Drosophila melanogaster: one gene and its partners. The protein of the gene in region 3 interacts with the protein of the main gene of each other region in a pairwise test. Each region holds a gene or a part of one and is shown on either strand. Other genes may lie near its edges.

What was found.
Region 1: the proteins of Pp1-13C (region 3) and NiPp1 interact in a two-hybrid assay, tested with the Drosophila melanogaster proteins (2 studies listed by BioGRID).
Region 2: the proteins of Pp1-13C (region 3) and ZAP3 interact in a two-hybrid assay, tested with the Drosophila melanogaster proteins (one study listed by BioGRID).

The regions. Positions count from the first base shown.
Region 1 is NT_033778.4:17,003,063-17,007,536, reverse strand, and holds NiPp1 (nuclear inhibitor of protein phosphatase 1), read left to right. Parts: upstream 1-2,387; 5' UTR 2,388-2,478; coding exon 2,479-2,507; intron 2,508-2,569; coding exon 2,570-2,784; intron 2,785-2,839; coding exon 2,840-3,054; intron 3,055-3,115; coding exon 3,116-3,686; intron 3,687-3,746; coding exon 3,747-3,868; 3' UTR 3,869-3,974; downstream 3,975-4,474. Other genes in the region: CG6805 (uncharacterized protein), read right to left, coding at 422-748, 1,030-1,776; AsnRS-m (Asparaginyl-tRNA synthetase, mitochondrial), read right to left, coding at 3,999-4,474.
Region 2 is NC_004354.4:10,079,493-10,084,937, reverse strand, and holds the start of ZAP3 (ZAP3), read left to right. Parts: upstream 1-2,445; 5' UTR 2,446-2,633; coding exon 2,634-3,005; intron 3,006-3,066; coding exon 3,067-5,445. Other genes in the region: CG2972 (uncharacterized protein), read right to left, coding at 213-1,556, 1,616-1,690.
Region 3 is NC_004354.4:15,357,128-15,364,857, forward strand, and holds Pp1-13C (protein phosphatase 1 at 13C), read right to left. Parts: upstream 3,935-7,730; 5' UTR 3,664-3,934; intron 3,595-3,663; 5' UTR 3,211-3,594; coding exon 2,302-3,210; 3' UTR 1,974-2,301; downstream 1-1,973.

The DNA.
Region 1 (4,474 bases), on a different chromosome or scaffold from region 3:
TTAATTGACTCAGTAACAAAAAAGATTAGTCACGTCGAGAGGTAATAGTTTTTTTTATTCGATCAACAGTTTAGTGTACAAAAATACATTTGTTTAATGCAATCAATCGTTAAATTAATATCGTCTTAATTGAGTGATAACATATGTATGTATATATACTCGGAAGCTGCATTATTTCCATGGATCACTTGAGAATTGCTTAAATGATTGCTAAATTAGCAGAGATTTCATCACATTGTACTTGATATTATTTTCGTTTCTCTTGTTCCTTCTGAAAGGAAGTCTTTTAATTACTCTACAACTCGTCTACGCATATAATCTAAAAGCATGCAAAGAGATTTAAAAGTTCACAACTAAGTGACGTCATGACGGCGCTACCATTGCTCTAGTTCAGCGATAAATAACTACAAAAGAAGCGAAATCAAAGTTGAGTATAGGACACAGCTACAAAAACAACAAATGCGAAGGATAGACTAACATTTGGCGTCGCCGGAGATGAGGCAGATCCGTGCGTCATTTCGTGGAGCTCCTCGTCGGTGTAGGTCTGGTTGGCAGCCTCGACCTTGTAGTTGAATGTCGCCGATACGGGCTTGTGGTCGGAGAGAGTGTAGTCCATGTGGGACTGATAAGACAGCTGGTTGGCACTCAGGGTAATGCCCGGATAAATGTTGCTCTGCACGCGATGCAAAATCCGATCGCACCAGGCGGGTCGCCGCTTCAAGTTGTAGTCATTAGTGCCTTCCACGAACTGCAAGGAAAATCAAATGAACTTTATATGGGTGCTAGAGATAAGGCGAATTAATTACATTCGACATATTGCCTCATAAATTAGTTGGATTTTGCTTTTCTCATGAAATCTGTGGAGCCGAATGAAGTGATTGATTGATGAAGTGATTGGCGGAAATTAAAAATTCAAGTGCAGATAAAATTAATTACACCCACCCCTATATACATTATTTAGATTAAGATTAGAAAGTTCAAGGCAAACTTTGACTGTAGAGATAATAAGATTGTATATTAGATTGTTACCTTAAAAGTGGGCGCAAAGTTGGGCTGCTGCTCCTCCAGCAAGCTGAAGGCGTTTCCCTTCTCCCGGAGCAGATTCAACTGGTCGAGCTTGAGCAGATCAGCGTATCGCTGGTTCTCCACATCCGTGCGGACATCCCAAGCGGACATATCGCCGGAGAGACGGAAGTTAAGATCGCCAAACCAAAAGACAAAGTCGTGATCGAATATCCGGCGATATCCCTGCGCATTGTACTTGTGATTGTCCACGATTTGGTGATAGTCTTCGATGCGCTCCTTCAGCTTCTCATCGTGCGCCGCCAGATGGGAGCAGACGAATGCGACGCCAGTTCCGTAGAGCGAAAGTCGAATGCTTACGGCACCCTTGTTGCCCCACAGCCCTCCAAGTCCCGTGCGCGTGGCTTCTGTCTCGATTTCTTTCATGTGCGGGATGTGCTTGTGCTGTGCGAACATGGTTATAAGAATTCCCTGCAGCTGCTTCGAGTCCACCTTTACGAACTGGTGATCGCTCAGAGAGTCCGCGATCTTCAGCACCCACGGATCGTCATTGAAGATTTTTAGCACCTGCGGTGTGGTGCTCACCTCCTGGAATCCGATTACATAGATATCGGGCAGCTGGTTATCCGGACAAGTGGTGGTGCCATTAAGGGACAAAAGGGAGCTCAGATCCTGATTTCGCGGCGTATGGGTGCCCACGTTCCAGGTCAAAAGGAAGATGCACAGATCCGCAATCGCCGTGGCCGTAACCATTTTTCCGCCGTCTAATTATCTATGATTAATACTTGTTGTTTTGGACGTCACAAGGTGGCTGTTGATGAGTTCATGGGCATCCAAAACAGGTTTACGGATTTGGCAGCATCAGCAAATAAAGCGAAAGGCGTTTTGCACACGCAACTTTCATTTATGTAACCGTTAATTCTTCAGCACTAATTTTTTAAGCCGCTTTAATTGGACTAGGAAGCGCTAGTTGCCCGTATTATTTATAGAATACTCAGATGTCGTTATTTATGTTTATTTGTCCGTCCGTTGCGTGAGCTTAGTGTGACCGCAGCACAACTATTTAAATATACCTTAGGCGGCGGCAAAAATTTTATGGTATCTCGATAGTAACGGAGCTCTGAAGCTCATCGAAAACATCGGCTAACATGAGCTTCTCATCTAATTTAGATTTTTATTTGAAACACATTAGATATTATAAAAGCCAAAAATCAATTTAAGAAATATAAAGATATAAGATTAAAAGTTGTACTGTGCGTAAGTTCCTTTAAAATAATAATACTCTTATTTCATTGTTTTTTTTTTTACGCGAGAATGCCCCTTTGCATTTGCTTGTGCTAAACCGATATTATCGGCAACTAGTCAATTGTGTGTACACACTGGCTAAGGATTTTTCATAAAAATAAACACTTTGTATAAACTTACCTTCCGAACTATTTTACTTAAGTTAAAAGTATGGCTAACAGCTACGACATACCCAGTTGGTGCGTTGTCAAATTCAGCCGCTGCCTTGCCACAAAATCACGTAGCATTTTATTTATTTTAGGGCTGGAAAACCGCCCACTGGCTTACATCTGGATGTGCTAAAGGACGACAAACTAGTACAAAAACTGATGGTGGATGAAAAAAGATGCTATCTATTTGGTCGCAACAGTCAAATGAACGACTTCTGCATAGACCATGCCTCTTGTTCGCGGGTCCACTCGGCGTTTGTCTACCACAAGCACCTCAACATAGCCTACCTCGTGGATCTGGGGTCCAGTAGGTACTAAGATATCTGGGATTCGGAGTAAGCTTATCCATTTACTTTTGACAGCTCATGGCACCTTTATTGGAACACTCAGATTGGAAGCGCACAAGCCCACACAGCTGCAGATTAATAGCACCTTCCACTTTGGGGCTTCTACCCGGAACTACATACTCAGGGAACGACCCTCTGGCCACCACAGCAACATCATGGAAGACCTGCCGCTCAGTGAAACCAGCGATGGAGCTCTCCTGGGCCTACCCGAAAGCCAAACGGAGCTTGATGTGCGTTTGGTTGAAAAGAAAAGCTAAATACTATGTAAACTAACCTTCCATTATCCTGCAGAATCTCACAGAATACAACACAGCCCACAATCGGCGCATCTCAATGCTGGGCATCGATGATGATACCAATATGCGAAAGCAAAACGCCTTGAAACAGGGACGGCGCACTCGAAATGTCACATTTAACGATGAGGAGATTGTCATCAATCCTGAGGATGTGGATCCTAATGTGGGACGCTTCAGGAACTTGGTACAAACCACTGTGGTGCCCGCCAAGAGGGCTCGCTGCGACGTCAATCATATGGGCATCCATTCGGGCAACAGCAGTTTGTCCAGTGCCAATGCCGCACATGTACACCAAATGTTCCAGCAGAGCCTAGTTGACATGAAGCAGCAGCATAGGGAAATGCCTCCGCCCAATGCGGTGCTCCACTCGCCTACTAATTCCCTATATCAAGGTCTACCGGCCGAAATGCATGGCAAGGGTGACCTAGAGCCCATCTCCCCGCTGAGCATTGGTTCCAAGTTGGGCCTATTGCTCCCGAATCCTGCGCCTGAAGTGCTGCCAGTCTATGACGAAGCTGTGGAGACCTCGACATTGGCTCAAAAGTTGGCCGTCGCTAATGCAAACGGTAATAGTTCTCGCGACTATTTGTTTAAAAACTTACTGATTGTTTATAACACCATTTTAGTTCGTCGCTTTGGTGAGGATCCGCATGACTCGAGTGGCGAAGGCGATTCGCTGTGCCCACAGAAAAAGAAATACGCCAAGGAAGCATGGCCAGGTCGCAAGCCCATGTTGGGGCAGCTGTAATTGCGTATTAACAAAATAATTAAGATTCCACCTACGATTTTCTCAAGCATATGATTGACAACACACTCTGGAGTAATATTTGTTTATTAGACTTTTAACGTAAAACAAAACATTTAATATCTTTATCTGATCACATCTTGCAGCTGTGTGGATACCTGGGGAAGGGTATCACATCACGAATGTTTTTAACGCCCGTGACAAGCTGCAAGTAACGCTCAAAGCCCATTCCAAATCCTCCAGTTGGAACTCCTCCATACTTTCGCAAGTCAACGTACCATTCCAGATCCTTCGGCAGATGCGGATGGGATTTTAATATAGCAGGATCGCTTTCACGCAGGCTCCCGCCGCATAATTCTCCAACAGCTGGCATCAGTAGGTCTAGGGCATGAACTCGATTGGGATTTGAACGCGAGACTTTCATGTAAAAAGGTTTCTGCTGAGCTGGCCAATCCACAACGAATACGGGAGCACCACAATGGGCCACTAAAAAAAGTTCTTGGTCCTTGGAGAATCCTTCGTTCAGGCTAATAGGAGTCTTAAGACTGTCCTTGTTTTCCTGCAGTACTTGCAGGGCTTCATCGTAGCTCATTATCTTCCACGGTACTT
Region 2 (5,445 bases), 5.3 Mb from region 3:
GAATCCAAGAAAAACTCCATACCTTACATACAAAAAAAAAAGATTTATTTCGTTTAAAAATAACGCTTGTAACTACTTGAAAAGCTTCTCTGTTTACATTTTACAAAGTTTCAGGTTCTCCCTTGTGTTTTATTTTATATATTATATAAATTTATATAAAGTCTACGATTGGAAAGCTAATGAACAACTAGCCCCTTACTGCCCAGAGTAATCTACTTGTACAAGCGATTGTAGTTCTTGCGCCGGCGATCCTCCTCGAAGTTGTTATTCCTGGCCCACTCCTTGAGGTTGCCCTTGGAGCGCAGCATGGCGGACTTGGAGTCCACGTCGCGCAGCACGAAGGGCGAGAATCCGGCCGTGTAGTCCTGATCCAGAGCGTTCGTCTTGGTCTTGGCAACGCGCGACGGCATCTGCCTGGGCATCGGCTGATCCTCGAACAGGATCGGATTTCTCGAATGCTTGCCGCCCTGGAAGCGAGGCAGGCTCTGATTCTTGTACTTATTGGTCAGCGGACGGCGCGTATTGATGTGAATCACCTGGCGACCGTTCTCGTCCAGACTGACGGCCACACGTTTCAGCGTCTTGTTGCCACAATTGGGGCAAAACACCTTGGTCATGATGCTGGTGGTCTTGTAGCACGCGTAGCAGCGGAGTATATATGTGCGCAACTGCTTGATGATCCGGCCATTGAGGGCGGCCAGGTGGAGATTTAGCTGCTTGAGCACGTTCTGCAGCGCATAATCGGTGGTCATGCAGGCGACGGGCGGCACTTCATCCGTTTCCACTTTGCCCTCGAGCGCTTTCTTGGCCTTCTTGATGTTTGAATGCGTGATCCAGCCATCGTCACCCACATCCTCGTCGAGATTTTGGCTCTGTTTGGCTTCTTGTGGCTCGGATACCTCCTCATCTACTTCGGCCGGCTGGGAAACGAGCAGTTCCGAGAGCTCTTTCTCTTCCTCGGCACTGGGTGCGCATTTGAGCTGCTCGAACAGCTTGTCCAGCTCCTCCTGACTGGGCTCCTGGTCTTGGTCCTCCTCCTTTTCGATGGTCTCGCTGGCAAATGGTTCCTTGCCGGCCAATTGGGCTTCGATGGCGGCTTTAACAGTGTCTGGGGATTCATTTGCCTCCTGCTCATCGCCTTCAGCATCGTCCTCTTCCTGGGAGTAATCATCTTCCTCCTCGGAATCCTCCTCCTCCTCCTCTTCGCCCTCGGGCATGTACCAACCGACCAGTCTCTTGTTATTAGCATCCTGCATCTCCTCGGGTTTATCCTTGGACGCAATGGTCTGCGCCATCACAGGCTCCTGGCGCAGGTGATCAGTGCCCACGTTGTCTGCTTCCAGTTCGTAGGTGAGCGAGATCACTTTCAGATCGATCCCCGAGAGACTCGCGTAGTCACCCGTTTTCTTGGCGAACTCCACGCAGTGTTTAATGCTCTCCGGACGAGGCTCGCGCACCTGGAGGTCGAAGGGCAGAACGCAGAGGCGGCGAATCTGGCGCTTGTTGCGCACTTCGGCCACCACATCCGGCACGGTGAGCACCTGCTCCGCGTATTCCTGTAGGGGATTAGTGGCGGCTTTAGATGGCTCGAATGGGCAAATTGTGCGTGACTTACATTCAGGGGCACGGCGTTTATAAAGGCTGTGGTGTCCGCCACAAGGAACTTGATCTTTTCGCTCGTTTCGGCCATTTTCAGTGCTAATTTTCACATGAAAAACAAAGGACGGCAAAAAATAACAATTTCTGCACGTGTCGCGATTAGTGTGGCTGTAGTGAGCTGTGACCGTTACGTTAGGGTATGCTAAAAATACCAAAAAGTGTTTATGAATTTGTGATTTTAATATTAGTTAATTAAATTTTACATTTTTAAGAGTTAGGCAAAGCTAAATGAATGCGTTCCCTAAAATTTTATTGCTAGCTCTCAATAAAATTGTTAAAATTAATTCATGTTAAAATATATTTCTATGAGATATTATATTATTATCACAGGGAGATATCGGTCCTGACTACTTAGACTTTCGGCCGGACTGTTGGAAAATTACCAAATTTACTTAACAAACTACAAAAAACATCAGTTAAACAAAATATCACTTGACTTAACTTATATTAACATATTTACAGATATGAAAAAATGTAGTAAAATGCCTGGTCTGAGAAATCTATTAATTTGCTGCAGATTTTCAAAAAGCTCATTAGAAGGTCTGCCAGTTTGATCTTCTTGTTTATTTTTTTTTTAACATATTTTCGTATTATCAATACAACTTCTACGAATCAATCACTTAAGCAAGCTATCTTTGCTAATTTTTCAATTTGTAGGCTTGTAAGTGCATTGGATTACATTCAAATTATTTTATTAATTGGCAATGGAATATTCTAGGGTGCTTGCGATATATGGATGCACACTCGCAGCACGGTCACACTGCCCGGCCCATTTAGCTGACAGTTCCATCTCTAGTTTTCAAGCCAAATATGGCGAAGTTTTCATTATCAATTCGTTCAGATAGCAAACTGAATTAGTGAAAGGTGGACGATTTTAAACGGAACGGAGCCAATCCGCCGGATTTTGTGAAAGCCCAACCGAGCGGTACAAGTGTGTTATTCGCTAATAGGCTAATCAATCCAGTGGACACGGTATGTGGGGCCAATGGCAAACCGCCGCCGCAGTGGCTCCCACTGCCGCTCTACCTCCGCAACCGTCGGTTCCGCCACCGTTGCCGGACGCCCCGCCCCCTCCGCCTCCATCGGACGCGACCGCCGGAGCCGGAGCATCAAGCGGTGCCTCTGCACCCATAGTCACGACTGCAGCCGCAGTCACAACGGCCCCTGGATTCAACCCCTATAGCAGCGGCCAGGCGACGGGGGCTGGCAACCCCTATCAACAGTATACGGCCGCCCAGTACGCGGCCATGACACCCGAACAGCAGTACGCACTGCAGCACCACTGGCAACAGTGGCAGACATACCAGGAGGAGTACGCCAAGTGGCATGCCCAGTACGGTGAGCAGGTGGGTCAAATCAATTAGTTATCGACGATCATATTGCTATAGTAGTCTTCCAAATCTTTAGTATAAGCGTGAAATGGCCGCAGCCGCGGCCACAACTACCGCAGTTCAAGGCGTGCCCGCGCCTGTGGTAGCGACTCCTGCAGCAGCACCCGTCCCTGTGGTCGCTCCTCCCGGGCCACAGGCCTATCCTGTCGCACATAACTATTACCAAGGTGTCAGCGCCTCGCCGGCGCAGTCAACTACACCCGTAGCCGTCGCGGGAGCACCGCCACTGCCCGGTAAGATCATGGCCCAGCCGCAGATGTACAACCAGCCGCCGCCGCCACCACAAAAAGGCGGTTACAATCAGCATCCGAATGACATCCAAAGCATGTGGTCAGGACCACCGCCAATGCAACAGCCGCCGCCAAATAGATATGGTGGCGGTCAAATGAACCAGATGAACTACAACATTGCCGGGCAAGACAACCAGGGATTTCCGAATCTCCAGCAGCCGCCGCCAAGTTTGCAGAGACCAACACCGCAACAGCAGCAGCCGCATTTAAACCATATGGACCATGGCCAGTGGGGAAATAATCAACACGGTGTGGGCAATAATAATCGTCCTACCTGGGATACCAGTGGTCCGCCGCCTGATAATACCGGCCAACCCAATCGCTGGAATGGCCCGCCGCCGGCAAATGATGTCAACAATCGCTGGAATGGAACGTCATTTAACAATAACACCAATGATGGCAATCGCCGCTGGGATGGGACTTCAAATCAAGCGCCGTCTGGCGGGGATCAGCAACTAAATCGTTGGATGAGCGAACCACCGCCAAGCCTTCCGAATCCCAATCAGCAGTATCAAAACCAGAATTCCTGGATGAGCGGACCACCACCGAGTATAAGTGATCCGCCACAGGACCATCAGCAGCAAAACAATAGCAGCCAGAATGCCCGCTCGAGTCGCTGGCAAGGAATCAATTCCGACATCGATACACCGCCAATGAGGACTAACAACAAGCCAAATAGCATCCAGAATAGCCGCAATAGTTGGGGTGATGGAGGTGGAGATGGAAACCAAAGCAAGAACCCATTCATTAAGAATCCACAGTCCGATTTTGGCAATTATGGCAACAGTTACAATAGCCAAGATCAAGGTAGTGCAGGAGGAGGCAACTTTGGCGGCTTTGGAGATGATAGTGGAGGCAAGCAAAGCCAGGACAGTTTTGCTGGACGTGGTGGAGGACCCGGCAATAATATTAATAATAACTTTAGTAACAATCGCCGCCAGAACAATCGACGGGATAACAATCGTAACCAGGGATTTTCCGATGAGAGAGGCGGTGGGGATTCTGGTCCAGGCGGCTACAATCCAAATCGTGGCAATTACAATCAGCGCAACAGCTTCAATCAGTCGAATGCGCCCTACAAGCAGTCGCAGCAGAACCGCAATCAACAGCAACCACCCGATTTGGACGAGGCCAGTTTCGATCTGCTGTTCGATCAGTGGGAGCAACAGTTCGAAGAATGGAAGCTGGCCAATGCCAACCATCCGGATCGTGACGAGTATCGACGCTACGAGGAGGAGTTCGAGAAGCAGCGCCGTCGCATCGCCGAGAGAAGGGAGCAGATGCGCCGACGTCGCCAACTGCAGATGGGTGGTTCGGCAGGAGGCTCGACCACAGACATAAGGAAGGAAGCAGCCGCAGGTGCATCCACGACCGCGGAGCAGAAGCCAAATAAGGATCCCTTCGAAGGCCAGGGCCGTTTTGCCGATCAGGGTGACCAGGATCACGGATCGGGTCCCAACTTCGGAAACGGGAACAGACAGTCCGGAAATGCTGGTCATTTTGGAAAAGAGAATCGCCCCTTCGAAAGCGCCGGAGTACCTGCATTCAGAGGCAACCAAGGACCGCCACCGGGGATGCACAACCAGTACCAAACCGCCCAGGAAGCCATCCAGCAGATATTGGACGAACAGCCAGATGAATCCAACCAGGAAATTCCAACCAAGCCGGCGGCATCAAATGAAAATTCATCTGATGTAAAGAAAGCAAAAACGACAGCTTCCCCAGTGGCTCCACCGATTGCACCCGTGGTGCCGCCCGAAGTTAAAGCTCCAGCTGCACCAGTAGTGCCAGATCCGACAGTGGTTCCGCCCACGCAGCCTCCTCCGGTTTCCACAAATTATGGCAAGCGCCGTCAAAGAGCTGCTCCCTCACAAATACCCGCTAAGCAAGTCAAGGAGGAGGAGCCCATATTCACCATTTCCCTGGACGACGACGACGACGATGATGAGGAGAAAGAGGTGGTACAGGACGCACCTAACACGCCCATGGGCAGCATTTTCAAGAAGAACGATGGCATACCCGGTCTGGATTTGGTGGACGATGGCAGTAACAAGAATAATTCGTCCTCAGTCTTCAATGTGGTGCTCAAGGATTCCAGCGAAAAG
Region 3 (7,730 bases):
AAAAAACGGAAAAATGCTTACTATTAAAGAAATGCACAAGTTCAGTTATATTATGAACACAAAAATTATATCATTATGAGCTTGAGTTTAAAGACTTTATTTTAATATTAATAATATTAAAACCGAAATGATTAACAAATTATTTAAATTTAGCCTTTGAGTTCTAGCTAACAAAATGATTTGATATTAATGTATAAATCTGCACAAGGTTTTGAAATATTGTACTATAACTAACTCAAAAAATATATAATTTGAAATATATAATATTAAAGTTTGAAATTTTAACAAAGGTTTCTAAATAGTAGATCAATATTTGAGTGATCAAAAAAAAAAAAAGAAAAAAATAAATATATTTGAAGATTATTACAATATAATAGAAAAAATGTGCCTAATTTCTAATTAATAACTTTTAACATTTTTTATAAATCGCTTATATAAAAAACCAATGTTTTGTAGATGAAGAGATACTTAAATTTCTTCCAGTGCATACGAAACAATGAATCCCAGATACAAAACTTTAGAGCCAGAGCGAGATGGCGGAGTGAGTATGTATGTGTGTGTGTGTGTGTGCATGGGTGTGTGGGTGTGGCATGCCATATATCTCCACCTCTTTTTCGTCCAGAGGACAAATCAAATGCAACAATAGAAGGCAATTTGCAGCAAAAAGGATACAAATAAATGCGAGTAGCTAACCGGAAAAAGAGAAAACAATTGCACTGCTACCAAATTGCCAAATGTTGTCTGCATTGATTTCCTTTCTACTGCAACATGTACATATATATCCGTGTATCCATATAGAAATATACACATATATAGGTATCTGCTCTGCAGCAGCGACAAACACCGAGCATCTCACACACACATATCCCTTTCGTGCGAGTGTGTGTGTGTGCATAAGGACGCCATTTTAAGCAAGAAATACTCTTGGAAATGCAAAGAGAGTCCGGATTTGGCCAGTAAGTTGAATATTAAATTTGGTAGCTTAGTTGGAATAATGTTACCACATTTACTGGCATTTAAAATTAAAGATTAGCTTAAATAGATATGGTGTAGTCAGGATAATAATATTATATTTAACAAAAGAACAGATTACCTAATGAACTATAAGAATCTACATACATACGTCAATGTTAGATCTTCCATTGTTAAAATGTAATTTAAATATATTAAACAATACTTCTTATAAACATATTAAATAATAATTTAAATAAACAAATAGGGCTATCTATTTATGAAATAAAAATAAATAAGAGTACTGAATTGCCGCTGAACTTTTCTCTCCTGACAATCTGTTCTTCTCACTTGCTCAAATTTTTCTCTTCGACTTGGGTCGTCAACTTCATGATTTATTAACAAATTTGCGAAGAACATTTATTTATTTGCCGTTTGTTGATAAACATGTGACTTTGTTTTCTTTTTGGTCTCCCTTACGCTCTACCGCCATCTCGCTCCCACCCTTTGTATTTCATTGCCCACTTTCTTTTCTGATTGTTTACGCGCTAATGACCTCATTATATATATAATGTAATTTGTTGTTGCCACACTGGGTTCCTTTTCTCTATTGTTTTTTTTTTCATCTTGTTTTGACATAATAAAGCGTTTTTGGCGCAATTTGTTGTATCTTTGTCTCTGTTTTTTTGTTTGTCGTCTGTCTGCCAGCTCGCTCCCTCTCTCTTACGCCCCCATATCGCCCACTCATTTTACGTGTGCATGTGTGCATGTGTGTGCGTGTGCTTTGTTAATTTTTAAGCATTGTTAATATAATATGGCGGTGACTTCTGTCACCGAACACGAACAGATGGAGGTGAATCTCTTTTTCAGGGGGATCACCCACTTTTCACTCCGCCGGAATTCGTAGCACACTTTTCAGGGCTTCCACATTTGGGAAAGGTGCTTAAATTAAGAGTTGGATAAACTAGCTGACAAGATTAATTAGGAAATCGAAAAAAAACAACAATTAGATGAAAACACTTGAAATTTTAAATGTAAGTTTATTTTTGTAAAAGTCGCATATGGCGTTATTTTGCATTAGCTAAGCATAAGCTCTGCGTTCAAATCTCAGTGAACTTACACATATCATACAATATGCAAGAATTGGCTAGTGGATACCTCTGAAGACAGTTAGGATCCATGGAGGTATACGTTGTAGTTGAGCCATTTCCCTCGATCCGGTTGACTAGAGATGTATGTGGATATTATGATTTCGAACCGATTTCGTGTAGGATATTGTGAATGAGTCGCGTGCCGCGTGTTACAATATATAAGAATAAATCTAGAAGCGTCTACAGATCTCGCTGTCCTCTACTTCTTGCGCTTCTCGACAGGCTTCAGGATTTGGAAGGAGCACATGAGTGTATTGTCCACGGACATCATGGCACCAGCATTGTCGAATTCACCGCAATAGTTGGGGGCGGAAAACAAAGTGACCAATTGGCGCTTGGCAAAGAACTCGTAACCATCCTCGACGACTTGATGGGCACGACAGATCAGATCCAGATCGTGCTTTTGGAGGAACTTGACCACAACTTCGGCGCCAAAGGTGAAACTAACGCCACGGTCGTTCTCGCCCCACCCAATGGTGTCCTTGTCCGGATCGGACCACAGCAGGTCACAGAGTAGTCCCTGATCGGGAACATCGGTGGGACGCATAATACGACGGATCTGCTCCATCGAGGTAAGATCCGGACTCAGTCCGCCGTGGCAGCAAAAGATCTTCTCATCCACAATGGCCACAACTGGCAGACAGTTGAAGCAGTCCGTGAATGTCTTCCACAACTTGATGGTATATCTGCGCTTGCACTCGTCGTAGAATCCATAGATTCTATTAATGCTGGCGCACTCGTGATTGCCGCGCAACAAAAAGAAGTTCTCCGAATACTTGATCTTGTACGCCAACAGCAGGCAGATGGTCTCCAGCGACTGCTTGCCCCTGTCCACGTAATCGCCCAAGAAAAGATAGTTAGCCTCCGGCGGATAGCCGCCGTACTCGAACAGACGCAACAGATCATAGTACTGGCCATGGATATCGCCGCAGATCTTGAGCGGCGCCTCCAGCTCTAAGAGTATGGGCTGTGCCAGCAGTATTTCGCGCGACTTGAGGCACAGGCCCCGTATCTCACCCTCCGACAGCTGGACATTCTTGCCAGGCCGTGCGCCACGCACCTCCAACAGACGGGAAATTATGCTCTCCAAATTGAGAACCTCCGCCATGGCCTCGGTCTTGGGGGCCGCGGCTGCGTTGTCCGGGCTGGATAGGACAATCGTCTGGGACGCCGTTGGGGCTGCTTGTCAGGGACTCACCCTGAGATCGCGGCTGTCTGGAGAATGGGACTGGATCCTCGGCGGAGCTGGTCTATTTGGGTCACAAACTTAGCTTCTTGGGTGCAGCAAAATGTATGTCCTGATGACGTGCACTTTTTGTGATGATTTGTGAATTTTTCGATTTACTCAATACCAGGTGCTCAATACCAGAACATAACCGAATGGAATTGCTTCTTCTCGATATGTGGCGGTGAATTGTTTAGCGTTCAGCTTTTTTTTTCTTTTGATTCTTTCACAAAATGCCTAATAAAAATGTAGGACAAATTCTCGCTTCTAGAAAAAGTGAAAAGAAAAAGGTTTGACAGCTTGATTAGCTATATCGATTGAAATCGATTACCCTACCTTCTCTAAGTTCCTTCTAGTGGTGTGCAAAGTCCAGCTGTTGTAATCTAAATTCTAGAATCTAGACATTTGACCTCTGCGTGCTGTACTAGCAGTCGTCTTTAGATCGTGTTTTTTTTTTTTCGATTTCGCTTCTCCGGAAGTTAATGAAAATTGAGGATCTGATCGGATACACATGTGCTGTTCACTAAAACGCACTTTAATACTCTACATTCGCGCTTTTGCGGTATCTTAAAAATTTTAAAAAAAATTTTGATTCCGGAACGGTGACCTTTATACTTTTCAAAGACTAAACGAATGACAAATCGACGACAGACAAGTCAGTGACTACATCGCATTGTTCCAGTTCGTGTTTCATGGAAATGTGATGGTATAGTGATTTCTCAGAAACTTTTACAATAGAAAATATATATATTATATAAACGCATTTATTTGTATTTTCTTCGCATGTTCTAGGTTTTAAACTAAAATAAACGATACCTTAACCATCCTTATAAGCTGTCTTACATCCCGCGTTTGCAGTACTAGAAAGGTATTATTTAAGTTGGTCACCCCTGGAAAAGTGTGCCGACCCTCGTCTGACCCTCGCCCATTTGTTCATATTATCTCTGATTGAGTGGAAAACTTGAAGTTGCCGAGTGCCATTTGCTGTGCACCCCGGTTTTGGTATATTGTATATGAGCTTATTTCGTCGGATTTCCCGGCTAGTGTGGCCACTAATTAGCTGCAATTTGTTGGCGCAACTTGAAAAATGGCAGTGTAAACAGGGTATTTTCCAGTGTCCCAATAATGAGGCAATAACCCCGCATTTTTCACATACATACCATATATATACCATATATATATGTACACATAAGTATATTACATAAATAGCGAGCTGTTCGAGCTGATTGAACTGCTTTGTCGGCTGTTGGCGAAGGGCTCCACTGTACAGTGTGTATCGTGTGCTGGCGCACCGCAAAGCAAACATTCAAACATTCAAACAGCAGCGGCATCGTTTATTTTGGGGAAACAAAGGACCTCATTTTCCCCCATTTGTTTGACCAGCAAGGCAGCAAGGACAACAAGGACAACAGGGACCAACAACAAGCGGCCAAGTTTTATAAATGGCTTGGCCATTGTTGTGCGCCCGCCGCTGTTTGTTGAAATTAATTGGTGTTACACAAATGAGTAATTTTCAATGTACATAAATATTTGCACAAATTGCAATTTGTGTTGTGCGGCGGGGGATTGTCGGTGAGAGGGGGAGTAAGGGGGCGCACTCACTTTCGAGTGCTGTTCAAATAGCCATTTTTATTGTCAAGCGCTAATAATTTCCACAATGAATAATATGAACGGCAAGCATCTGTTATTATTCCAAACAAATCAAAACAAGTGCAGTCGAAACGAAACCGTGTGGGAGTGGGAGTGGGCCAAGACTCTTGAGTGCTGAGCCCTGAGCTTCTGAGCCAGTGATATTCAGAGTCCTGCATCCTGGGCATCCCACCCTGCGCTGGCATCCTGGCCACACACAAATCTTCATAAATTGCAACGGCCGGGGCGACAGTTTTGGGAATTGAGACAAAGTGCGAGAAGTGCCTGTGTACAGGGGCGAAATGCGAAAAGGGGTCGCCAAATGGGAAAATGATACACTTTACTTTACTTATTTTTACACATACACACACACGCACATACGGAAAGGACACCCCGTCGCACACAGACACAATCAAGGAGCAACAAATTGCCGCATAAATGTGGGGTGGTTCGCCACCTAATAGATTTTATTTTATTTTTATATCCGCCAGACGCGCAGCCAGCGGCCAACTTTTTTCCTACTTGTCGTTGTTTTATTTATTTATTTTTTTTTTTTTTGGCAGGGGGTTGCGATTCATGGCCTTACTTACTTTTACTTTTCACATTTTTACCTTTTTACCTTCTTTTTTTTTTTTTTGCCTCCGCCTTTTCGATCACAAGTAGGTGTAGTGGTTGGATGAGGGGGAGGGGAGCGGGTGGTTGAAGGCAGCTAGATTTCACGGGAATTCCCAGGATATTCTGCGCTGTTCGAAGGAACAGCATCCCACATTCATTGTCTCTAACTAACATTGAAAATTTGCCATAAACTTAAGCATATTTATAGCAAGCAGTTCAAGTCACAGGGGCTTTTTTTATATTTATGAATTTATTGAAATTATCAAGAATATAATTTTTTATGCAATTAAAATATGACTTTTAAGTTTTTCACTATTGTAATGGAACTAGAACTGGAACTAAAACCACAACAAAATTAATAAAATGAGATGCATTTGTAAATATAAACAAATGACCTTTACATTTTTATAAACTCATTATAATGGCTGTTATTTCGAGAACAATTCAGTGTTTCCTTTACATTCGATAACGCAGATTGTCTTGTAATTTCCCATGCCTGTTTTTCCACCTCCTTTCAAGTGTATCGACTTTCCACAGACGACTCATAAACTTTGTCGAGCAACAAAAAACGTGGCAATACTCACGCATACACTGCAATAATTTGCAGGGTTAATGGCAACATATTGTCGCTGGCTCATCATGCGTGTGAGCGGAAATAATAGCAATGGAAAAGCGTGGAAAACCAGCAAGACCGCGGAGTTTTCCCGCCTCCGGCGACCACCTGCCAACGTTTTCCGCCCACCCCAGCTTTAATTTTTGCTCGTAATTTTTTACACATTGCGGTCCCAGCTTAACGGCTGCCCTCTGCCGTCTGTTTTCCGGCCCGCCCAACTGGGAGACACATCCAAGTGGGCGGTGAAAATTCCGCCCAGCCATACGCAACCACCCTTCTTCACGGCGATTGCGTTGCCTTCTTTCACATCACGCACACGGCGATGGAACAAGTGCAGCGGCTCAGGTGAGGAGGGAAAAGCGAAAAAGGGGGGTGGGAAAACACCGGGAGAAAATCTGCACTACGTTGTAATATATTGTGTAATATATATATATTATTAAAATTATATATGAGCGCTCAAAAAGGCATAGTTTTAGTATAGCCAAGGATTGGACAAGATTATATGAGGCGTCTTTTTAAATTGGGGTTTTATTAAGTTATCGATTATAATGATTGAATTGATTTGAATTTGTTTATTAGAACTATGAAGTTAGGAGATCAGATAATATATATTAAACAAAATGAAGTGCACTCGGTGTGCTTTTAGAAACCATCTCTAGACCAAAATTAATTGATTTCAGTGCCAGTTGTGGGCATTTTCTTGCAGTGCAGAGGGAAAGTGGCAATCACACGCTGCGTCGCCAGTCTGTGCAATAAAAACAACAACAAAAAGCACAACGACACGCTGCACACACACACAAACACACAGGCATAACACACAAGGACACGAGGGATTCCACGTACGCCCATGGGTGTGGGTGGCGGGGGGTGGTAATAGAAATTACATACAAAGTAGCAGGCGTGCGGGAAGTGGAGCGGAGGTGGCACAGGTTTCCTCAATTCACCCGTGTAATTCTCCCCTGTTTTTCCCTTTTTTTTTCGTCAGCCTGCACTTCCTCTCACCGCACCTCACCAAGGCCCCTTTCCCTTTCTTTTTTTTTTAGGCGGTGCGACATTAATATGTAGATGCATTAAGTACATTATCCGGGGTTACAACCTCCGGAAAGCAGCGAGCAGCAACCAGATCCGGAGTAGCGCACGCAGCCAGCATCCAGAACTTGCTGGTGCTACAAAGGTATGGTACAGTGGTTGGAAATATGTTATAAAGATGGGATATATATATCAGATATATTCTGTCTGCTATAAGAAGAAGTCTATGTATAAGACATACTTTAGATATATCCCTATATTTTGTATATATATTATAACCATATTTTAGTAAGCGAATGTAACTACACATTTGAATATCCATATGAGCATATGAAATATGAAATCTCCTTGATCCTTATAAAATATTCCACAAATTTCTTAAACTTTCAATTTTTATAACAAAACAGCACTTGTTGTTACTGAAGCATGTATTGATTTCGAAACAGCGAATTAACGCCCGAAAATCACTGATTCAGCCCACTGTGCGCAGTGGCATGGTCACGAGAAGGGGGCAAGG